Linked DNA regions of Schizosaccharomyces pombe. Changing the gene in region 3 together with the main gene of any one other region gives a genetic interaction. Each region holds a gene or a part of one and is shown on either strand. Other genes may lie near its edges.

The links.
Region 1: mutations in cyb502 (region 3) and prp3 together harm fitness more than expected from each alone (negative genetic interaction), as found in Schizosaccharomyces pombe (one large-scale study listed by BioGRID).
Region 2: mutations in cyb502 (region 3) and tif302 together harm fitness more than expected from each alone (negative genetic interaction), as found in Schizosaccharomyces pombe (one large-scale study listed by BioGRID).
Region 4: mutations in cyb502 (region 3) and SPOM_SPAC25B8.11 together harm fitness more than expected from each alone (negative genetic interaction), as found in Schizosaccharomyces pombe (one large-scale study listed by BioGRID).

What each region holds. Positions count from the first base shown.
Region 1 is NC_003424.3:4,401,849-4,409,899, forward strand, and holds prp3 (U4/U5/U6 small nuclear ribonucleoprotein complex subunit Prp3), read left to right. Parts: upstream 1-2,030; 5' UTR 2,031-2,238; coding exon 2,239-2,319; exon of another isoform or gene 2,320-2,369; coding exon 2,370-2,528; exon of another isoform or gene 2,529-2,574; coding exon 2,575-3,234; intron 3,235-3,276; coding exon 3,277-3,587; intron 3,588-3,670; coding exon 3,671-4,088; 3' UTR 4,089-4,141; coding exon of another isoform or gene 4,142-7,248; 3' UTR 7,249-7,322; coding exon of another isoform or gene 7,323-7,490; 3' UTR 7,491-7,748; downstream 7,749-8,051. Other genes in the region: F-box/WD repeat protein Pof11, read left to right, coding at 169-295, 371-465, 517-1,815. UniProt on the Schizosaccharomyces pombe protein: Participates in pre-mRNA splicing and in nuclear mRNA export. May play a role in the assembly of the U4/U5/U6 tri-snRNP complex.
Region 2 is NC_003424.3:4,308,977-4,313,612, forward strand, and holds tif302 (translation initiation factor eIF3b (p84)), read left to right. Parts: upstream 1-1,584; 5' UTR 1,585-1,602; coding exon 1,603-3,780; 3' UTR 3,781-4,085; downstream 4,086-4,636. Other genes in the region: kinesin-5 family plus-end directed microtubule motor, bimC subfamily Cut7, read right to left, coding at 1-1,000; pan1 (actin cortical patch component protein PanI), read right to left, coding at 4,245-4,636.
Region 3 is NC_003423.3:2,574,135-2,577,486, reverse strand, and holds cyb502 (cytochrome b5), read left to right. Parts: upstream 1-2,021; 5' UTR 2,022-2,058; coding exon 2,059-2,206; exon of another isoform or gene 2,207-2,390; coding exon 2,391-2,544; exon of another isoform or gene 2,545-2,592; coding exon 2,593-2,665; 3' UTR 2,666-2,824; downstream 2,825-3,352. Other genes in the region: SPOM_SPBC2G5.01 (Ca(2+) binding protein), read right to left, coding at 1-866; Ragulator-Rag complex subunit Lam1, read right to left, coding at 3,000-3,210, 3,273-3,350.
Region 4 is NC_003424.3:4,172,010-4,176,897, forward strand, and holds SPOM_SPAC25B8.11 (transcription factor), read left to right. Parts: upstream 1-1,665; 5' UTR 1,666-2,049; coding exon 2,050-3,499; intron 3,500-3,545; coding exon 3,546-4,060; 3' UTR 4,061-4,369; downstream 4,370-4,888. Other genes in the region: SPOM_SPAC25B8.10 (trans-aconitate 3-methyltransferase), read left to right, coding at 167-937.

The DNA.
Region 1 (8,051 bases), on a different chromosome or scaffold from region 3:
CACTTGTAGAAGGAAACTCATATCGGAAGGTTGTGAATTGAATTGATAGTTTATTATAAAGGCCTGCTGACTTGAACAAAGGTCTACGCCCATTTCAGTTTGATACAGATATGCCCCGTGTCGTATGACTACCATATGTAATAGCTTGGGATCTTGAAAACTTTAGGAATGAACCAGGACGACAATGGCAAAAATGTGGTTAGCAAGGTGTCAGATTTGACATCTTGCAGTGATTTCAGTACCTCAAGTCCGGTTCCTTGCCTAAATCCGCTGTCTCATGAAAATAATAGAATTGGTATGTTTTTTTTGAAGCTCACGGCTTTACTTCTTTTTTAATTTGTACTCTTTTCATTTTACTAATATAAAGAAGACTTAATTCGTGATCTGTTGGCTTCCTTATCCAAAGAAGGGGTAGTTGCTGTTTACAATCACGTTCGTTCTCTGTTATTTACAGATTTCACAGAAGTATGAAGTTTTCAATTCCCTGTATAATATAACTAATATCCGTTAATGTAGGTATTTCCTGAAGAGGTTAGTTTGAGGGTGTTTAGTTACTTAGATCAGCTTGATCTATGTAAGTGCAAGCTTATGTCAAAGCGCTGGAAGCGTCTATTGGAAGATCCTGGAATTTGGAAGGCTTTATATATGCAAAAGGGTTGGTTTGTAAATGAAAATGTGCTAAATGAATTTGAAGCTTGGAGAAGGACACACAAGTTTCCTCAACCAAGATTCGAAAATTTTCTAAAGCAGCAAAATATCATAGGACCCTATGGTACAATGTTTCTACCGCAACAGTTTATCTTCGACTCCAACGGCCGGCCCTTGTTAAACTGGTCCTATCTATACAAAGAACACGCCCATTTGGATAGTAATTGGAGACATGGTAGATTTCTAGTATCTACATTCAATAACCCCTCTATACGCTTCCCTGCAGACCAGGATTTTCGTGCTACATTGGATAGTGTTTATTGTGTTCAATATGATGACGAAATCATGGTCAGCGGGTCTAAAGATCGAACAGTAAGTGTGTGGGATGTAAATTCTCGATTTATTCTTTATAAATTATACGGCCATTCTGGAAGCGTCCTGTGTTTGGACTTTTGTAGACGAAGAAATCTTCTTGTTTCTGGTTCTTCTGATTCAACAATTATTATATGGGATTGGCAAAACCGACGCCCATTAAAAGTTTATTTCGGACATACAGATAATGTGCTAGGTGTCGTTGTATCCGAAAATTACATTATATCTTCTTCAAGGGACCACACAGCTCGAGTATGGAGGTTAGATGCCACCTCCCCTGCTGAAGCTTGTATGCATGTTTTGCGTGGTCATCTTGCTTCTGTAAATTCTGTACAATATTCTTCGAAAACTGGATTAATTGTCACAGCAAGCAGCGATCGCACTCTACGCACTTGGGACATAACTACTGGCCATTGCATTCGCATTATTCATGCTCATCAACGTGGAATAGCATGTGCTCAATATAATGGTAAATTTATTGTTTCAGGCTCTTCGGACCTTACAATTAGGATATTTGAAGCAAGTTCCGGTAAACTGCTTCGTATGCTTCAAGGTCACGAAGATTTGATCCGCACTGTGCGATTTAATGATGAAAAAATTGTTTCAGGCGGTTACGATGGCACTGTTCGAATTTGGAATTTCAACACTGGCGAGCAACACTGTGTATTGCATAATAGTAGAAATTCTCGTGTGTTCGGTCTGCAGTTTGACCACAGACGTATTATTGCATGTACTCATAGTAGCGAGATATTGGTTTGGAATTTTGACGATGGATTGGATTGTACATTTTTTTAGCTACTCTCTTACTTATTATTCAATGGCGAAAAGAATACCAATTTGCTAGTTTTAACCTTCCCATCCTTTGCTCAGACCTGGGCAGTTCCTCTCAATATCGTAGTATATTAATTTTTTTTAATGAAATAGACTCCATTGTTAACATGTCTGCTTAGTTTTTGAATACAAGTATCGCAACAAACTATACTTAGGCGGTATGTGCCACCACACTCCTTGAATGGACCAACTAGGTTAAAGATTGAAGGACACAAAAAACTGTCAAGTTTTTTTACTATATGCATTTTTTTGAATTTAAGCGTTAATGTAAAGTTCACAGTTTATATTTAGACCACGAATCTGAGTTTTTCAAAGTTTACACGCACAGTCGTTGTACAAATTCGTATTCCCAGCTTTGCAAATTAAACTACTGCTTTCAATTAACTGATGGATCGTAACAAGAGGCGTTTAGAATCGTCTCAATTGAGGGAAAGTTCTTCGCCGAATTCTCAAAATAAGCCTAACGCTGTATGTTTCAAAAATATAAAACTAATGGACGAATATCTAATTCAATATAGATGGAAGAAATTAAAAGAAGACGTTTACAATTAGAGCAGCGTCTTGCACAACAAGCTCAAGTGCCTTGGGAAAAACGCTCTGAAAATGGGAATAATGCTGGAATGGAAACGATACAAAATCGTATATCAGAGCTTAAGGAAAAGACAGCCAAGAGATTTGTAAGTTTTTTTATTTTTGTTATTTGCAGTTGCTAATCGTTTGTAGAATGCCAATATACCCAAATCTGAAGGCTTGTTCAGAGATGATAGTAATGGTGCCAAAGGGGGATTAAAAGTTGGAATCCATCCAGTGCTTTTAGATGGTAACATTCAAAACACAATTTTAACACCTGAAAATCGTAAACGAACTGCTTCTTTTTCGACAAAGGGTGTTTCTTTATCGCAGCACCAACTATTGAAACCACCTGCTATTACAGAACAAAATCCTTTTCTTGATACAGCCCCTACTCCTAGATTAGAGGATTCACCATTTTATGATCCTCGAACGAAGGAATCACGGAAAACTAGGGGTTCAAGGAATTTGCATTTAAACGAATCTGGCAAGTTTATAGAAGAAGCTAATCAAGCTCGTCGACAGGCCAGATTGGAGGATCTCAAAAAAAGAATAGCTTTACACTCGCATAAGGCAGGGATTGAAGATGAACTTGACATTACGAGCAAGTCTATTGGAAGAGATACAATTCCCAACATTGAATGGTGGGACTTACCCTTTATAAAGGATTATAATGACTATGGTGATGAAAATAACTGGCTAATTGATGGTCCACAATCAATTATCAACTCAGCTATTCAACATCCTATACCTGTTCTCCCTCCTTATGCAAAAAACCAACCGTCATCTCATTCCGTCTTCTTAACTAAAAAGGTAAATTATTTGAAAGTTGATTAATTGCTGATTATTTTTTAGGAGCAAAAGAAAATAAGAAGACAGACTCGGGCTGAAGCTCGAAAGGAAAAACAAGACCGTCAGTTACTTGGAATTGAACCTCCAGAGCCACCGAAAGTCAAGCTTTCTAATTTAATGCACGTTTTAGGAGATGATGCTATAAAAGACCCTACTAAAATAGAAGCAGAAGTTCGAAAGCAGGTTGAAGAAAGACGTCTTCGACATGAGCGAGAGAATGAGGAACGGAAATTAACTCCGGAGGAGCGAAAAGAGAAGGCATTCCGTAAGAAAGATGAGGATTCAGCTGCCGGTCTACGTTGTTTGGTATTTCGGTATGTATCTACAACTATTGCATCTCTGTTTATGTTTTGTGTAAATATGTATTTTGGCTAATTTACTGTACTAACTTATTTAGTATTAAATACCTTGCTCATAGGCCTCATCGTTTGAAAATTGACCTTAATGCGAAACAATGGGGAGCTACCGGTGTGTGTATCTTGAATGCGAATTTTAATTTAGTAATTTTTGAAGCTGGACAAAAAGCTATCAAAAAATTAAAAAGACTAATGCTTGAAAGAATCGACTGGACTGATACTTCAAGAAATTCCATTATAGCACAAGGAAATAAATTAGTGGATACTGAAGGACGGGAATTAAATTATACAGAAAACACATGCAATTTAGTATGGGAAGGAGAAATTGGTAGGCGAGCTTTTCGTTACTGGTCGTTTAGAAGTTGTCCATCTGAAAACGACGCAAAGAGTTACTTAGAAGAACAAGGAGGAGCTGAGCATTTTTGGATGTTAGCAAAATCCTGGTCTGAAAATGTTTAAAAATCTGATAAAAAATTTTTATTATATATATTTTTGAATGATATTTTAATTAATTACTCCTCTTCGCTTTGTTCATCCTCGGAAACAGCTTGACCGCATTGTCTAAGCAATTCCTTGTCTTTAGTTCTCTTCGACTCTAATTCTTCAACTATCAGCAACCAATATTCATCAGCTTCCTTGAGTTTTTTCTCTAACTCTTTATTTTTACTCTCTAAATCTGAAATTGTTCGGTTGTCACTGTCCTTCAATGATTGCATGTTTAACGACGCGTTTTGCAAGCCAATAATGTCAACCTTTAACCTCTCAATCTCTTCGTCACGCGCATTTAACTTCTCATTGGCTTCGGCTAATGCTTGAGAAACTTCTTTAAACTTCTCGTTATTAACGCTTTTTTCTTTATTCTGGTCATCATTTGATACGCTCTTAAGAGAATCGTTTTCACTTTTAACCGTTTTTAGTTCTTTGCTTAAAGTTGAAGCTGTTTTCGTCGCTGCCTCCAAATCTTTTTCCAGTGAAGAAATTTTTTCAGTATGTTCTTTGGCAAGTTTGTTACCAAAATTAATTTTCTCCTGTAAATTGCTGCACTTCTGCTTTGCTAATTTTAACTCATTAGCTTGATTTTTATTGATAGATTCCATTGAACTCAATTCATCAGCAGCAGCAGATATTCTCTCGTTCAAGGTTTCAATTTGGTTTTTGTCTTGATTCAACTGCGATTGCAGCTCTTGCAAACGTGTAGATTCCTCGCTAAGTTTATTCTTCAAATCCGAAATTATGTTTTCTTTGTTACCAAGATTATCATTCAGTGCTTTCTTGGACAATTCAGCTTCACGAATTGTATTTTTGAAGGACTCTGTATCGGCATTCTTCTTATTGAGCTTTTCAGTAAGCAAATTAAGGTCATTTTCTAGCTTTTTGTTTTTGGATTCTAATGCAGCCAGAGAATTATTCAGTGACTTCGACTTTTCTAACTCAGATAACAAATCCCTATTTTTGGAGCTGATTATTCCAAACTGGTTTTTTATATCATCCAACTGTTTGGTAAGTTTTGAATGTTCCTCGATGAAATCTTTGATTTCGGATTCGTGACCTTCTCTCAAAACTTGCATTTCCTCCTCCATTTGTTTACAATTCGACTTCGTATAATCTAGTTCAATTCTCAAATCATATAATTTTTGCTGATTATCTAATAACTCTTCATGGTATTTTTCTGCCAGTTGTGTTTGTTCTTCTAGATTTGTTTTGCTAGTCTTGAGACTTTCATTCAACTTCTCTTCTTGAATAGATCTTTCTTTGACAGAAAGGTCTAATGCTTCTTTAGTGTTATCAATCTCTTCCCTCAAACTTTTCAATTGCTTTTGTGCTTCGTCAAACGCATCCAATGTATTGATTTCACCAATTTTAGTATTGAATGCGTCAGCGGCGTCGTCTATAGCGTGCTTAAGGCGGTAAAAATTATCCTTAAAGAAATTCACAAATGTAGTGTCAAAGAGGATGTCATTGCAATTACCATCTTCTGCTTCATTGACAGGAACGTGATCTCGTATAAGTTCATCCTGCGAAGCCGTTGTAGCCTATTAATGAACACGTCGCGCTTGACAGCAGAAGTGATTGCATTGTAGACATCAGATTTAGATACCGGAGACTCTATTGGACAATAATAGTAAACCAATGATAAGAATACAGCTATCATGCCTTGAATAACGGAATTTGCTGAAGACGATTCATCCATTAGCGCCGTCAAAAATGTTTGCAAAATGCTACTTTCCGACAAAAAGTCTTTGACACTATCAGGATTACCATAAACCAGAGCGATTAATAGTGTTAGATAACCAACACAATTTTGAAGCGCGTTCTCATGTCTTAAAGTAGCTATTAACTTGGTAGATACGCATTGAATAAAGGTGACTTTGTCTTCACTTTCGGAATCCTCGTCATTGTCCATATCTTGGAACAAAGGAATCGAGCACAAAAGATATTTTCTCTGGTCATTATCAATAACAAGGTAGGTAAGGATTGTGCTAGTGAACCAATTATCATACTGATCTTGATCGGACAAATGTACTAAATCCAAATATCCTTGAATTATATTGAGCCGATTATCTTGTTTATGGGTGTATGCATGAATAATTTGCTTTAAAAACTTCGATGAAAGCTCATCATTTTCGGAGGTTAATGACCTTAGGAAAAAAGCCACGGAATAGCGATGTGAAGGTGAAATAGAAGAAAGAAAGAGATAATCAAACAAACACGTCAAAACATCGGTATTTTTTATATCAAAAAAAGTAGAGTCGACAAAACTATTTTGAGCTCGAGCATTAGAATATACGACGTGCGCTAAAGTTATCCAGCTAATTTTTTGAACGTCAAAGAATAATAAATCAGGGTGAGTAGCAAGTGTGAGTAAAACATCAATGCCGTGATTGGAGACAACAGCATTTTGATTAGCAATACTAGAAGATAAGCCAATTGGTACTAATGATTGAAGAGCATATAAGGCTTCTATAACACACTGTACACGAGAAGTGTCCCAAGTTCCATCAACAAAAGTGTCAACGGACAAAAGCTTAAGTAAAGAAGGAATGTGGTTGGACTCACGGAAATAATTTTGGTTAGAAATGTTATCTTTAAGTAGAACGTTCAGAAATTTCAAGGCTTCTAGTGCTATTATACCACCATCGACACCACCTTCATTTTCTAGCAATGAAAATAATGTCTCAAAAGCGTTTTCAAATACCACCAACTTCTGGATGCTTGTGCAGTCCTTCACCAATTCTGACAAAAAATAAAGATCTGCATTTCGAACTGGCTCAATGGAGTCTCGAAGTGGAACCATTATACTGGAGATAGCAGAAGGAAATGTTTGAAGACAATCTTTCAATTCAGTGGGCCGGCATGATAAAATAGCAGAGAACAATTCAACAGAATATAGACGAACATAGAAATCTTTGTGGGATATGCTTTGCAAAAGACATTGAATATTGTCTTGGTTCAGGATAAACTGATCTGCTATCCACAACCCAGTATCTGAAGCTCTTGAGTCGTCATCGTGTCGCGTCAAAATTAAGCATGTTTCTAAAGTAACTTTTAAAAGTTCAGGATCATCATAGTCTCTGTGTAAAGATTGAATTATGCCTTTTAAGCCATGAGCAGCCACGAGCTAAATTTGTTAGTCCCAATCGAACAAAATTAAATAAAAAAGCAACCTCAAACTAGTATTTAAAAAAATCATACCTCCTTAAACTCTCTCGCAAAGCTCTTAATTCCGAGAGCAGCAGCTTTTCGATCTTCAAAAAGCGTAGCATGTTCCAACCGATCACAGAGCTTCGATATCGTTTCATCCGCCTGCTGAACTTTGGGAGGTGATAGAATCACATTGTAACTTTTATGAAAAATATCCATCAAGTGAGCGAATGCACGCAAAGGCAAACAGCAGGATTTCAGCTGTCAGAAGTTCCCCAATATAAAAGTAGTTAGCCCTCGCTTATAAGAAATTATTAGAAACTGCAATGCATTACGCTATGTTCAATGTAAACAAAGCATTTCTCCCGGACCACACGACAAACGTGAATTTACTTAAAAATCTGAGAACAACTAGGAAAAGCTAATTCTGAACCAATTTTATATATATTTTCGGACCCATGCCATTTAGGAGTGAATTAAAGACAATTGAATTACAGTAATACGTTCATAATTTCTTTTATTTAAGATAGATTTACACAAAAAATCTAAATAGTAACGTTGCTGTTATTCAAACGTATTTTCATTGCTTCGCAAGTTCATCTTTGTCGCTAATTCAGGCTTAAATTACTATAAATTATTTGGGATTACTTTATATGACTAGTCGAAAGGAGCAGCTGGATGCCTTTTTATCGAGAACTTTGTCAGAAACTATAGCTCACATTCCTTTGGAAAAGTTCGCACAATGTTTTCCTTCCATGAAAAAGGGGAAAGTTATAGCAG
Region 2 (4,636 bases), on a different chromosome or scaffold from region 3:
TGTTCTCGCTTCCAGCCAAATCAACCATATGAAGTTTGCTGGCGCGCAGCAAGTCATCAGAGTTATTATTTATGGTAAGTGAATTAGTTTCATCTGTCATTCCCGAAGATACCTTTCTATGCAGAGTTATCGTGAAGATTGAATGACTACGAGATGAAAGATCGTTACACTTTGTAGCAGCAACTTGACGCCGGTGAGAGCCTTCACGTAACAATCGCAACCCATCGCCAGCATTTTTTATATAACTTTCTTCAATACCAGTAATAACAACGTTCCCTCTCCGCGAAGTATCTTCAAAAACACGAGCTGGCTTTCGCAATTCTTCGGAAACCAAAAGATCGCGAATTTCCTCGTTGTAAAGTTCATAATAGGAGCATTTGACAGCATATTCTTGATTACTGTTGTCCAAGGAGGAAAATAATTGATAAAGGGCACGAGGAATAAGGCCTGCTCCTTCAGACAAAATTCCATCGGAATCGCTAAGATCACCAGACATAGTATATGTTTTACCGGTTCCAGTTTGTCCGTACGCAAATATAGTACAATTATAGCCGTTCAATACTTGCTCCAGCATGGGCGCTACCGAATTTTCGAATAGCATTAACTGGTCAGCTTCAGGACCAAAGACTTTATCAAAGGCATACGTCTTCGTGACCAACATGGATGAAGGATCCGACTGGATGGCCAATTCAGCACCCATAGCGCCCGAAGTCGATACAGCAAGGCTACTATTGTCGCGTACTTCTTGGTCTGTACGACCACGAACACGGACGACTACGTTAATATTGGTTTCGTTCTCATCATGAAGTGCATGATCTGTCGGAGAATTAGTGTCGGAGCGATCTGGGTACCCAGTGTCAATAGTAGGAGGCTCACGTCGTTTCCTAGGATTGCTCGCAGAGCGGAAATGTGAATTTGGAGTAGAAACCGGGTTTTTAGCTTTCAACCCCTGCTTTCCTAGAAATTGTTGTGAGCCACCAGGTGCAACTCTAGGGGCCATTCGGTTTTATGAGTAAGGATTGTTACAAAGAAAGCGACAAGGTTGTTAATTTAAATTGCAATTCTGTTGTAAAGTTCAATAAACCACAATATAAAAAAAAGGGGTAAATTTAAAATAGGAAAAGATCGTAAACGTCTGTTTTTAGGGGTAAAAAGAATGAATAAATTGGACAATTGTCGCTCCTGAGTATGTTGTTGAATTGTTGTAAACAAGAACGAGGACTCAGACACGGTAACACTTGGAATGTCTCATTCCAATGTTTTGCAGTACAAATCAACAGTATAAAAAGAGAAAAAAGAACTTTTATGAAAAATCCAACAATTGTGCTAATACTAAAAATCAATACAAAATGAACGAACTTGGCAGATAAACTGTTGTCAGTAATGATAATAGTCAAAATCGGTAGAATGAGTTAAAATCTAAAAAAGAAGAAATATAAAACAGAATCAACTTTATTAGTTTATTTTAAATGATACCATGTTTTTTAAATTCTACTTTTCATTACTTTCAATTTTTTTTAAATTTCTCTAAAGTTACTCTTCGATGTCCCCCCAGTCACTGGGTGAAGAAACTTGACTAGAGACAACGGCACTACACCAGAAATGTCGGAAATCCTAATTGAGGAAATTAAGGATCAAATCGTCGTAAAGGACGAGGAAATCGATGTTTCTGAACTGGAAGTTAAGCTTAATGTAACTAAACCTGTTGGATATGACACGGTTGTAGTAATCGAAGGTGCTCCAGTTGTCGAAGAAGCTAAGCAGCAAGATTTCTTCCGTTTTTTGAGCTCAAAAGTCCTTGCTAAAATTGGAAAGGTTAAGGAAAATGGATTTTATATGCCATTTGAGGAAAAAAATGGAAAAAAGATGTCTCTTGGACTAGTTTTCGCCGATTTTGAAAATGTTGATGGCGCCGATCTTTGCGTTCAAGAGTTGGATGGAAAGCAAATTTTAAAAAACCATACTTTCGTTGTTCGTAAGTTGAATCAACTCGAAAAAGCTTTTAGCACTCCTGATGAATTTAGTTTCGAAGAACGTGAATTTAAGGAGCGCGAACATTTGCGTAGCTGGTTAACTGATTACTATGGTCGTGATCAATTTATCAGCTATTACGGTAACCGTGTATCTGTTAACTGGAACCGTAAGAGCGACGTCCCTGAACAGATTGTGGATCGTGAAAACTGGACCGAGACCTACGTGCAATGGTCTCCCATGGGCACTTACCTCGTATCACTTCATCTTCGTGGTATTCAATTATGGGGTGGGGAATCTTGGGGAATGTGTGCTCGTTTCTTGCACCCCTACGTAAAATTTGTCGACTTCAGCCCTAACGAGAAGTATCTTGTTTCATGGTCCTATGAGCCTGTTCGACTTCCTCCCATCGGACATCCGGCTCGTGAAACAATGCCTTTCACTGATGATGATGAAGGAAAACATTGCTTCGTTTGGGATATTGCCTCTGGTCGTATTCTTCGTTCTTTTAAGATTCCTCCTCAACCAGAAGGTTCAAAGGATGGCAAAAAAGTTATTTGGCCTATTTTCAAGTGGTCTGCCGATGATAAATACCTTGCTCGCGTTACTGTTGGTCAGTCGATTTCTGTTTATGAGACACCCTCCCTTGCTTTGGTTGACAAGAAAACTATCAAGATCGACGGTGTGCAAAATTTTGAATGGTGCCCAGTTTCAGATGCTCTCGGACGTGATTCCAAGGAGCAGCTTTTAGCTTACTGGACCCCTGAAATTACCAATCAACCTGCTCGCGTTGCCTTAATTAGTATTCCTTCAAAATCAACTATCCGTACGAAAAATCTTTTCAATGTTTCCGACTGTAAGTTGTACTGGCAGTCTAATGGTGATTATTTATGTGTTAAGGTTGATCGTCACACAAAAACTAAGAAATCAACATTCTCTAACCTTGAAATATTCCGAATTCGTGAGAAAAATATTCCCGTTGAAGTAGTGGATCTTAAGGATGTTGTTCTCAATTTTGCCTGGGAACCTAAGAGTGATCGTTTTGCCATAATTTCAGCTAATGATCAAGTTTTAAATTCTACAAATGTAAAAACTAATTTATCGTTTTATGGTTTTGAGCAGAAAAAGAACACCCCTAGTACTTTCCGTCATATCATTACTTTTGATAAGAAAACATGCAATTCACTTTTTATGGCGCCTAAGGGTAGATTTATGGTTGCTGCAACCCTTGGTTCCTCTACTCAATATGATTTGGAGTTTTACGACTTAGATTTTGATACCGAAAAGAAAGAACCGGATGCTCTTGCCAATGTTCAGCAAATAGGTTCTGCCGAGCACTTTGGTATGACTGAGCTGGAGTGGGATCCTAGTGGTCGATATGTTACTACTAGCAGTACTATTTGGAGGCATAAGCTTGAGAACGGTTACAGACTTTGCGATTTTAGGGGCACACTTCTTCGTGAAGAAATGATTGGAGAATTTAAGCAGTTTATCTGGCGTCCGAGACCTCCTTCTCCATTGACAAAGGAAGACATGAAGAAAATTAGAAAGAAACTTAAGGATTATAATCGTTTGTTTGATGAAGAGGATATCGCCGAACAGAGTTCCGCCAATCGTGAATTGGCAGCCCGTAGAAGACAGCTCATTAGTGAGTGGCAGAAATATAGGGATGAGGTTATTGCTCGGGTTGCGGAAGAACGTGCAATCACTGGCCAACCTGCTATCACTGTTCCTGCTGAAGAAGAAGAAATAATTCAGGAAACGGTTGAGGAAGTAATCTCTGAAGAGATAGAACCCGTTGAAGATTAAGGGCTTTACGCTACCTTTTGTCATAAAAAAATTGGGGCCTTCTTCGAAATCGGATGTTACTTGATTAAAATCATGATCTTGTTGCCGCAATTATGTGTTCCTGGACGTGTATTTGCGTTTCGATTGGTACTGTATGGGGAAATTTATATTTACATTAGTCCTTTTAAATGGAATTGCATTTGCGTTACATACTACTGTATATAAGTAATATAGCGTTCTTAATAGTTTTGTGAATGTCCGAGTATTATTTGACTCAAGAAAGTTTCTAAATTCATATTGTCTTAATGCACTCTAGAGATTTAAACATAAACATTTTATTGGTAAATAAAGTATAAACAAGCCAATTTAAAGAGATAATTGATAGCTGCAGAATGAGAAAATATATCATTCATAAAGAGCGCATAAAAATTAGAAACACTACAAAAACTCAACGTTTGATATGAGTACAAACAAAAGTTAAGCCACTAAGACAAATTCCCATACCAAGCGGATGAATTGCCGTCAGAAGCGTCTAAAACTCGTCCTGCTATGGGCTTGCTTTTATCCGTCGTAACCGTTTTTTTCAACCGAGTGCCAGTATGAATTTGTTGAAGTAAAGCACTACGATCTCCTGGATTGGGAACAGAAGGAGCCGATGAAGCAGGAAGAGGTGGTGGTGGAGCAGACGGTGGACCGGCAGGCATTGGCGGTGCAGATGGAGGTGGTGGTACTGACATAGGAGGAGGTGGTGGTGTTGGAGCAGACATTTGAGGTGGTGCCGCCGATTGAGGTCTTACAGGAGGTGTTGAAACAGGATGAGCAGGAGCCATACCACCGAATAATTTGGCGGCTAAGGCAGCTGCATCTTTACTTGAAC
Region 3 (3,352 bases):
GTAGCATTGCTCAAACCAGAAAGGGATGTGATTTTTTTAATTCTGATTGAAGCTTCGATACGAGGCTTCGTAACATAATCCTTTTCGGTAGCAGGAGGGACTGAAGGTTGATCAGTAACGATGAAATACTCAAGGTTTTCAATACACTCGTTAATTGAAGACATAAACTCGGGAATTTCGAAAATAGCTTGACTACACTCATTGTTCTCAGACATTAAAACATGAGTTTCCGGTAAGTAAGGAGAGGAAGAAATGCGGGTAAAGCTTAAGTCGTAACGTATTTCACGAAGAATGCGCATACAGTCTTTATGAACAATGGCGAAAACAAAACGCTCAGCCTTCAAGTTCTGGTCTGCAAGAGTTAAATCGAATTGAAAACGGTCAGCAACAGGTAAAACAGAAGACATAACGTTTCCCAGGAGGATTTCAACGATTTGATTAAGAGAGTAGGCTAACAAATCTTGACGAGGAAAAAGCTGAAGTGTTGTATACACATTCTTCACGTTGAGACGTCCAGTAAGATAGGAGCTAAACTCGGTAGGAGAGTCATAAATGATTGGAGAACTGTTAGGACCTGGTCCATATTGTGCAAACTGTTGGCGAAAGCTAGACTGTAAGGAACCATACCAGCGAGAAGCGATTTTTTGGTTTTTCTTCTTTTGCGTGATAAAAGAAAAAACATAAAGGAAAAAACAAGCAAGAATAACAAATTCAAGACGGAAATCTCTCCAATCGACATGCTTGAACATTCCTGGATTCTCCAACTCGGGATTCATATTGTAATCCTCTTCGTATTCATCTTCCTCATCAGCCAGTACTCCTTTAGCTAGTGCAAAAACTAGAAACAAAAGCTTTTTATTAATCATGGTTCCTCCGCTTGTAAATTTACTGACTTTCGTGAAAGAAAAAAGGGCACTGGTTGTACGAAGTGAGATTGAACGTGGTGAAATAAGTAACGAACGAGACAAGCCGGTTCCTAGAGTGGGAAGATTAACTAGTGTATATAGATAGTTTAAAATAAGTCGGTAACCAGAACATGTCGCGATGGTGTAGTTGGGAGCATGACAGACTGAAGATCTGTTGGTCATCGGTTCGATCCCGGTTCGTGACACTTTTTTTGACGTGGAGAAAACACTTTGTACTAGTTATATCCAACATAATTTTGAGGTTTTTTCTTTTTACTTATTTTTATTTTTCTAGTTGCTATATGTGAAGCAAAATTAGATAGCTAACGGATGCTCAAGAATATTGTACTGGCACTTCAGCTTGTTATTGCAAAAGTTACAAAAACAGTCTGCAAAGACAAACAAGCATAGAAGCTCAGTTGGTCTAAATGTATATTACTAGATCGGTTCTGTAATTATTGGTGTTTTATTAGCAATGAATGGTGCTTTCAACTGAATATATCCGACAGAGAAACTATATGGCGTTACAATTTTCAAAGGTAGTAGTTTATCTATTTGGTAAATGATAGTTGTACGAACTGCTACGCATTTACTCAAAATCTTAGTTACATTCATGCGTTCTATATAAAAGAAAGTCATTTTGTACTTGCTTGTTTACGTATACGATCGGTTAATCTCAACAAAGCAAATAAAAGGAAGCTAGTCACCCTGTTGTACTTTATACCTAGGACATATTTTTTTTTTCAAACATGTAACATACCGTTACTGAAGAATGTCATAAGCTTAACGCTAGCTAAATTAAGCTTGTATCAAAGTTGCGAGGGATATTGAGATCTATCGTTATTAGATCATTATAGATAAAAAGATATAAATGAGAAATCCTCCATACCTCAACAATAATTGTTTATTGGTAAAAAAATATTATTCCTATCCACTTTTTGGTTAAGCAGAAAATCTGGCAGAATTTTGTACATGCCGCTTTGCCTATCATTGGCTGCTAAATAAATTCCTTGAGCTCGTTTGTTCGATTATTTACTACTACCACACGATACCCTAACGTGAGATTTTCTCTACTAGCGATATCAAAACTTTCGCAAACTTTTTCCAACTCCCCTCAACACACGATTTTTATTATATAGATTTATTTATCAAGATGTCGGTGAAATACTTTGAACCTGAGGAGATTGTGGAGCACAATAATTCCAAAGACATGTACATGGTCATTAATGGAAAAGTTTACGACGTTAGTAACTTTGCTGATGATCATCCTGGAGGCTTAGATATAATGTTGGACTATGCAGGTAAATAATTCGACAAAACTTTTGTAGAAGTAAACACCATATTATGTTGGAGACTGCTATGCTCAAAAGCGATAGTATACTTTTAATCGCTATCGTTTCATTCATCAGTTCTTCACTTGTGTGCCTTCTTGATTAAAACATTGTATACGGCTTTTTAAACATGTCCACTAACTATTTGTTTTAGGCCAGGACGCCACTAAGGCCTATCAGGACATTGGACACTCTATTGCTGCAGATGAGTTACTAGAAGAGATGTATATTGGTGATTTAAAACCCGGAACTGAGGAGAGACTCAAAGAATTAAAGAAACCTCGTTCATTTGATAATGATACGCCTCCGTAAGAAAATGATTTGTGTACGATGGTTGTTTCATGCTAACAGAACAGATTGCCTCTATTAATCGCATTAATTGTCCTGCCAGCCATAGCAGTAATTGTGTTTGTTAAGCTTAACAAATAAACTTCGAAGGCTTGCCTATTTATTTTCCTAATCTTTATACCTTCTTTTGTTTTTCGCGATGTTAGTATCACTCAATATTATTATGGATAGCAATTGTTTTCAAGGCTTCTAAAGAAACAAAATAAACGTTAACTTAGAAAAATATATTTCTTAAATGTCTTCCTTCAGTAAGAGAGCTCTTAAAAACAATGAGTTCAGCTCGTAACATGTAATTAACTCATGGAGATATTAAACAAACCAAAAAAGTATAACAAAAAGATTTAGCTAATAGTAAAGAGGGAAGTATGTAATCAGAAGTGGAATATAACTAATGGAAAAATTAGTTCTATTGGGCTTATGAAGGACTTCCAGTAATATTCGGTTGGACTTTAGATAAATTGATTACCATCTTTCCTTTGATTTCTTTATCACTCAGCTTAATGTTGTTAATATCATCAATCAAAACACCTAGTTTCCTTATTATAAACTCGGTTTCCTGCTCGGTAGGTTTAGCAACATCGTATTTTGGATCTAAATTCAATGAGTCGATTTGATCTAATACCTCCCTATCGCAATCATTATGTTAATATAGTTTCTACTGTATAAAAAGAATTTATCAAAAGCTTACTCATAAATGTTGTCCCGAGGGTCTCGCTGAGGTGCTTCGGTTCTCAATCGTAAAGAAAAGACGTCAATGAATTTATTTCT
Region 4 (4,888 bases), on a different chromosome or scaffold from region 3:
GCGAACTCATCAACCAATTGTCCATTTGAATCCAGAATAGTCTTAGTGGTATATTCACTACAATACAACACAATACCGCAGCGTTTAAGCTCAAATTATCAACCGGTCGTATCATTGTTTTTAACCACCTCTACTCTAGTGAACAACAATCGTTAAGTATAAAAAGATGGCTGAACAAATTGACTTGAAAACATTTAAAACTGATGTTGCTGACTATGAGGCTGCGAGGCCTGAATATCCTATAGGAATAACCGACTGGATTACTGATGAATTCTTAATTGATGAGACTTCCATCATTTTAGAGCTGGGTGCTGGAACTGGCAAGTTTACACCAAGGATCATCGCGTCTCATCCTAAGGAAATTATTGCTGTTGACGTATACCCCGAGATGCTCGATGTATTGAGAAAGAAATTCCCAAATGTTGATTGTCGTGCAGGCTCAGCTATGGCTATTCCTCTTGAGGATGAAAGTGTTGATTTGGTTCTTTGTGCACAATGCTTCCACTGGTTTGCAAATGAAGAGGCAATGAAGGAGATTTACCGCGTTTTAAAGCCTAATGGGAAATTGGGTCTTGTTTGGAACACTCGCGATGACACTGTGCCTTGGATTGAAAAGGTTAGTAAAATTTTGGGGAGGTACCGAAAGGACGCACCTAGCTTTGTTAGTTGGAAATGGGCCGAACTATTTCCTGGTCATGGATTTGGTAAACTTAGGTACTGTGCATTTCCTTTCTCGAGGTGTCTTACAGTCGAGGAATTACATACTTTAATGAATTCGTTCTCCTTTATTTATAAGCTTCCGGAAGAAGAGAAGGAGAAAGTGCATGCTGAACTTGATGAAATTGCTAAAACTATTCCCCGTGTCCAAAACACCGACCAAATTAAGCTTTGTTACCAAACGATGGCTTTTAGTAGCGAGAAAGAGCCTGCCAAGTGATGAATTTTTTTCAAGCGATACTCTTATGCGTAGAAGTAATACACTGTGAGTGATGAAACCTTCGACGCGGCGCAAACATTTTGCACTTGCCATCTATGATGAGGAACATAGGCTTTATGGATACTTTTATGCGTATGTTATATTCTCATTTTTTTTCTTCTTTCTTTTGTTTTGTTGTTTGTTACGAGGAATTCTTATGCTGTCAATTTTATCGCAGCTAACCTCTTTGTTAAGAATTTTGTTTCGCGTATTGAAAGAATATTTTCCAACAATCACTACTATTGCTAGATTCACCTTTATACGTTTCATCCACACTTTATTCAGTGAAGATTAGCAAAAATGTTTAAACGAGAACTCAATTCTTAACATAGCTTCGCTTATCATATGCAGCTAATATATAAATTTTTGAACGAAAATTATCATCTTATATGATACAAGTGATCGCAAAATTAGGGCTCGTGAGTATGACTAAAATTGCGATTATCACTTCCACTAAAAAGTTTAAGCATAAATAATTTTATTCTTTTTTTTTCCTAAACAATTGTACGAAAGAAATGGAAAACATTTACTTCTTGGTCTCTAAACTTCTTTAGCTTCACGTATTTGTTTGTACTTTTTTGAATAATGAGTTGCGTAGTGTTGCGGCGCTCTACTTAGTACATCATTATAGAAGTTCCATATCAAAGATAAACTTGTACTATATTTGGACTTAGCCTTATCCATCATTGTACTATTCTGCGTTTAAACAGTCTCAATTGTCAGTTTTGAAATTGAATTTTATTTGCTTATAAGTCGCATTTAATTAGTCGTATGTTCTTGCAATTATCATCGAGTTATAGAAGTTAAGTATTCTCATTCGCATTTTGGCATTTATTTGCTATCCCTTGGTATTCACCCGGTACCATCTTTTGATATCTTCTTAACCATATGTGTGTTTTTGAGTGGGTTGTTATACGTTAGTTTGCTCGAAGGTTTCATTTGGCTTTAAGCATTCATTTGCTATTATTCCCATTTTACACAAAATCAGGTAGAGGCCATATAAACCCCTTATAAGCTTGATTGAAGAAAAGAAAAAGAGACCGATATAATTGGCCTGTTTCCTATTATTATTAATGTCTAATTTGATTTTAACGCCTTCAAACAATGGCACAGAACGGCCTTATCGCTCAAGGAAAACTAGACCTTGTGACAATTGTCGATTGCGGAAAAGCAGGTGTGTGGTAGAGTCAATTGGAAATCCCTGCTTATTATGCACGCAGTTGAAAATTCCATGCACCTACCATCTTCCTCCTATAAAGCGCAACAAACAAAAAAAGCAACAGGATTCTGTTTCAGATGACACACCATCAGAAGCAACAACAACGACTAACGACGATCGTGATCCAAAGTACAATGCCTTAGGCAATAATTTGGATGCTGTAAGAGGAAAAGTGATTTCACCTACGCAAGGGTCAGATGCTCGTGGACCTGATGGTCGTCAAGTTCCATTAAATCTAGCAGGCATTACTGAAATGTATCATACTTCAGATGATAAATTTGACAAACTTGGACTTGACGATTCTTTGAACTATCCTTATGTGTTGGGGCCAACCTGTGATTCAGACATCGATCTTATTCGTGAGTATTTTTCGTTTGAAAACGGTGTTTGCTCTTTCGATAATATGACTGTTAAGTACGTTTCTACTAGCTCCAAATCACCTGTAATGTATATCCTGGATCCTGCGTATGAGAATGACCGTCATAGTGATTTTTCTCGATATGATCATGCTTTGCACGATCTATTATCAACATACATTGATGAGGCAACTGGCCGCACTTTAGTTAATTTGTACTTTAGTCATGTGCATCCTTCTTATCCTATTCTTCATGGACCTAGGTTTTTATTATCATATAAAAACGGTTCTCGAAATGTACCGTCTATTTTACTTGCCGCACTTTATTCCGTAGCTCTTACCTACTGGCCTTCTGATTCTCGATCGTTTGGAGCGCCACCACTAGATCAACGGAAAATGTGGACCATTGTCGAGGAAGGGTTGAATTTTCATTTTACACAACCACGACTTAGCACGATACAAGCTGCTCTCTTGTATTTAATTAGTCGTCCTTTACATAATATGTACAGTCTTTCCAGTATCCTTTCCCGTACGACTGTCCTTTCGCAGTTGTTGGGTTTTAATCATGATTGCACGGAATGGAAGATACCCAATGAAGAGAAAACCATCCGTAAACGCATTTGGTGGGCTATTTTTATTGCTGATAAATGGTATTCAATGTATTTTGGGTTAGCTACGAACATTCATGAAGATGATTTTGTCGTCCCAAAAATAGAATCTGATGAATCATTGCCTCTGGAAATCACATCGTCACATTCCTTTAAAACATTTCTTAAAATGATAGAGCTTAGTTCTCTTTTACAGGATATATTACAAGACTTATTTACTGTCCGTGCATTAACCCGTCATTCAAAAAACAATCGTTCTATTAGTTACCAGATCATTGGCTTTTTTACCAGATTAAACAGTATCCGTCCTGTAGAATTTACAGAGCCTGCGCTCGGAGTTGGTAAGTTTTTTTTTCCTCTTTACACTTTACTAATTGTTTTATTCAGCCTCATTAAAAATCCAGTTTGATGCTGTTGAAATATTGTTGTGGAAGACGGCATTGAGGTTCAACTTACCCGATTTTCAGTCTGCAGATGACTTATTCGTTTGCGTAGAAAAATCTGTTTCGAATTTTGTACAAATCACAGCCAACTCTTCGGGAGACTTTTTCTGGCCTTACGCAGGATTCCATTTTTCAACACTTGTTTCGCTTTTAATTCGCTTGCATTTAGATTTCCATACAAACAATACATACGGAGCTAGAGCTTTCTCACTTTTGGATGCGTTTGTGCGGCACTGTATCACGTTGCATGAGGCAGGTTTTGACTTTGTTGAAATGGCAATTAGGCGATCGTCTTCTTTGTTAAAGGAGCTGGGCAAGGACCATCCGCATTTATTGGCTCTTCGAGACGATATATTTAATTCTAATGATTCGCGAGGCGAAGAAGCTTATAATCACGTACCAGAGCAGCTGTTTGATCCATGGAATCCTCATTCATGGACGTTTCCCAAGTCCGATTAAAGAAATTTGTCTCTCACACACTAACTACATTGGCTAAATACTTAGGTTTACTTCTTCAAAGAGATCTGTAATTAATGTACATCTGAATTGGTGAAAATGCTAAAGATCACTTTGTTGTCTGTCATTCACAAACATATATATACATACAAAATATTGAACTATGCTATTGGATGTTAAACGTTTCTTCTTTATCTTGTGATTATTTTATTTTATTTTAAAGTTTATAGTGCTGGTCAAAGAATGCCTGGCATCTCTTATGACATTTTGAATAATAATACATTTATAATTTTGAGTCATGATAGAACCGAAACTTAATGGACTTTTGCTGCATGGTTTATTTAAGTAGTCTATAACTTTATACACGAAGCTTACGATACGAAGTTTTTAGATTGACTAAAGTTATATTCATTTGCTAACGATAGGCATCAATGACAAAACAATATAATATACATCAAACAACGTCCATAAATGCTATTTAACATACCGAGTAAATGAAATAATGACAAAAGCAAGCCTCTAACAAAACAAATAAAGAAAAAGAAAGAGTCAATTAATACAAATAATGAGAATAAAACACAAGTATCGCCGCTGTTGCTTCAACAACGACGTACGAGTTGGATGTATTGTTCACAGTGTAGAGGATCGAATCTAGGGTCTATAAAACAAACAGTTATGAAAGGGGAAAGGAATTAACGGGTATATATATGTGACATCTCATTCCAAGTAACCCCTTATAATAAAGAAGCAAACATTAAAGGAAAGAGACAGAATTGTAACTAATAGGGAGAAAAAATAAAAAACATACTAAATAAAGATTTATATAGATGA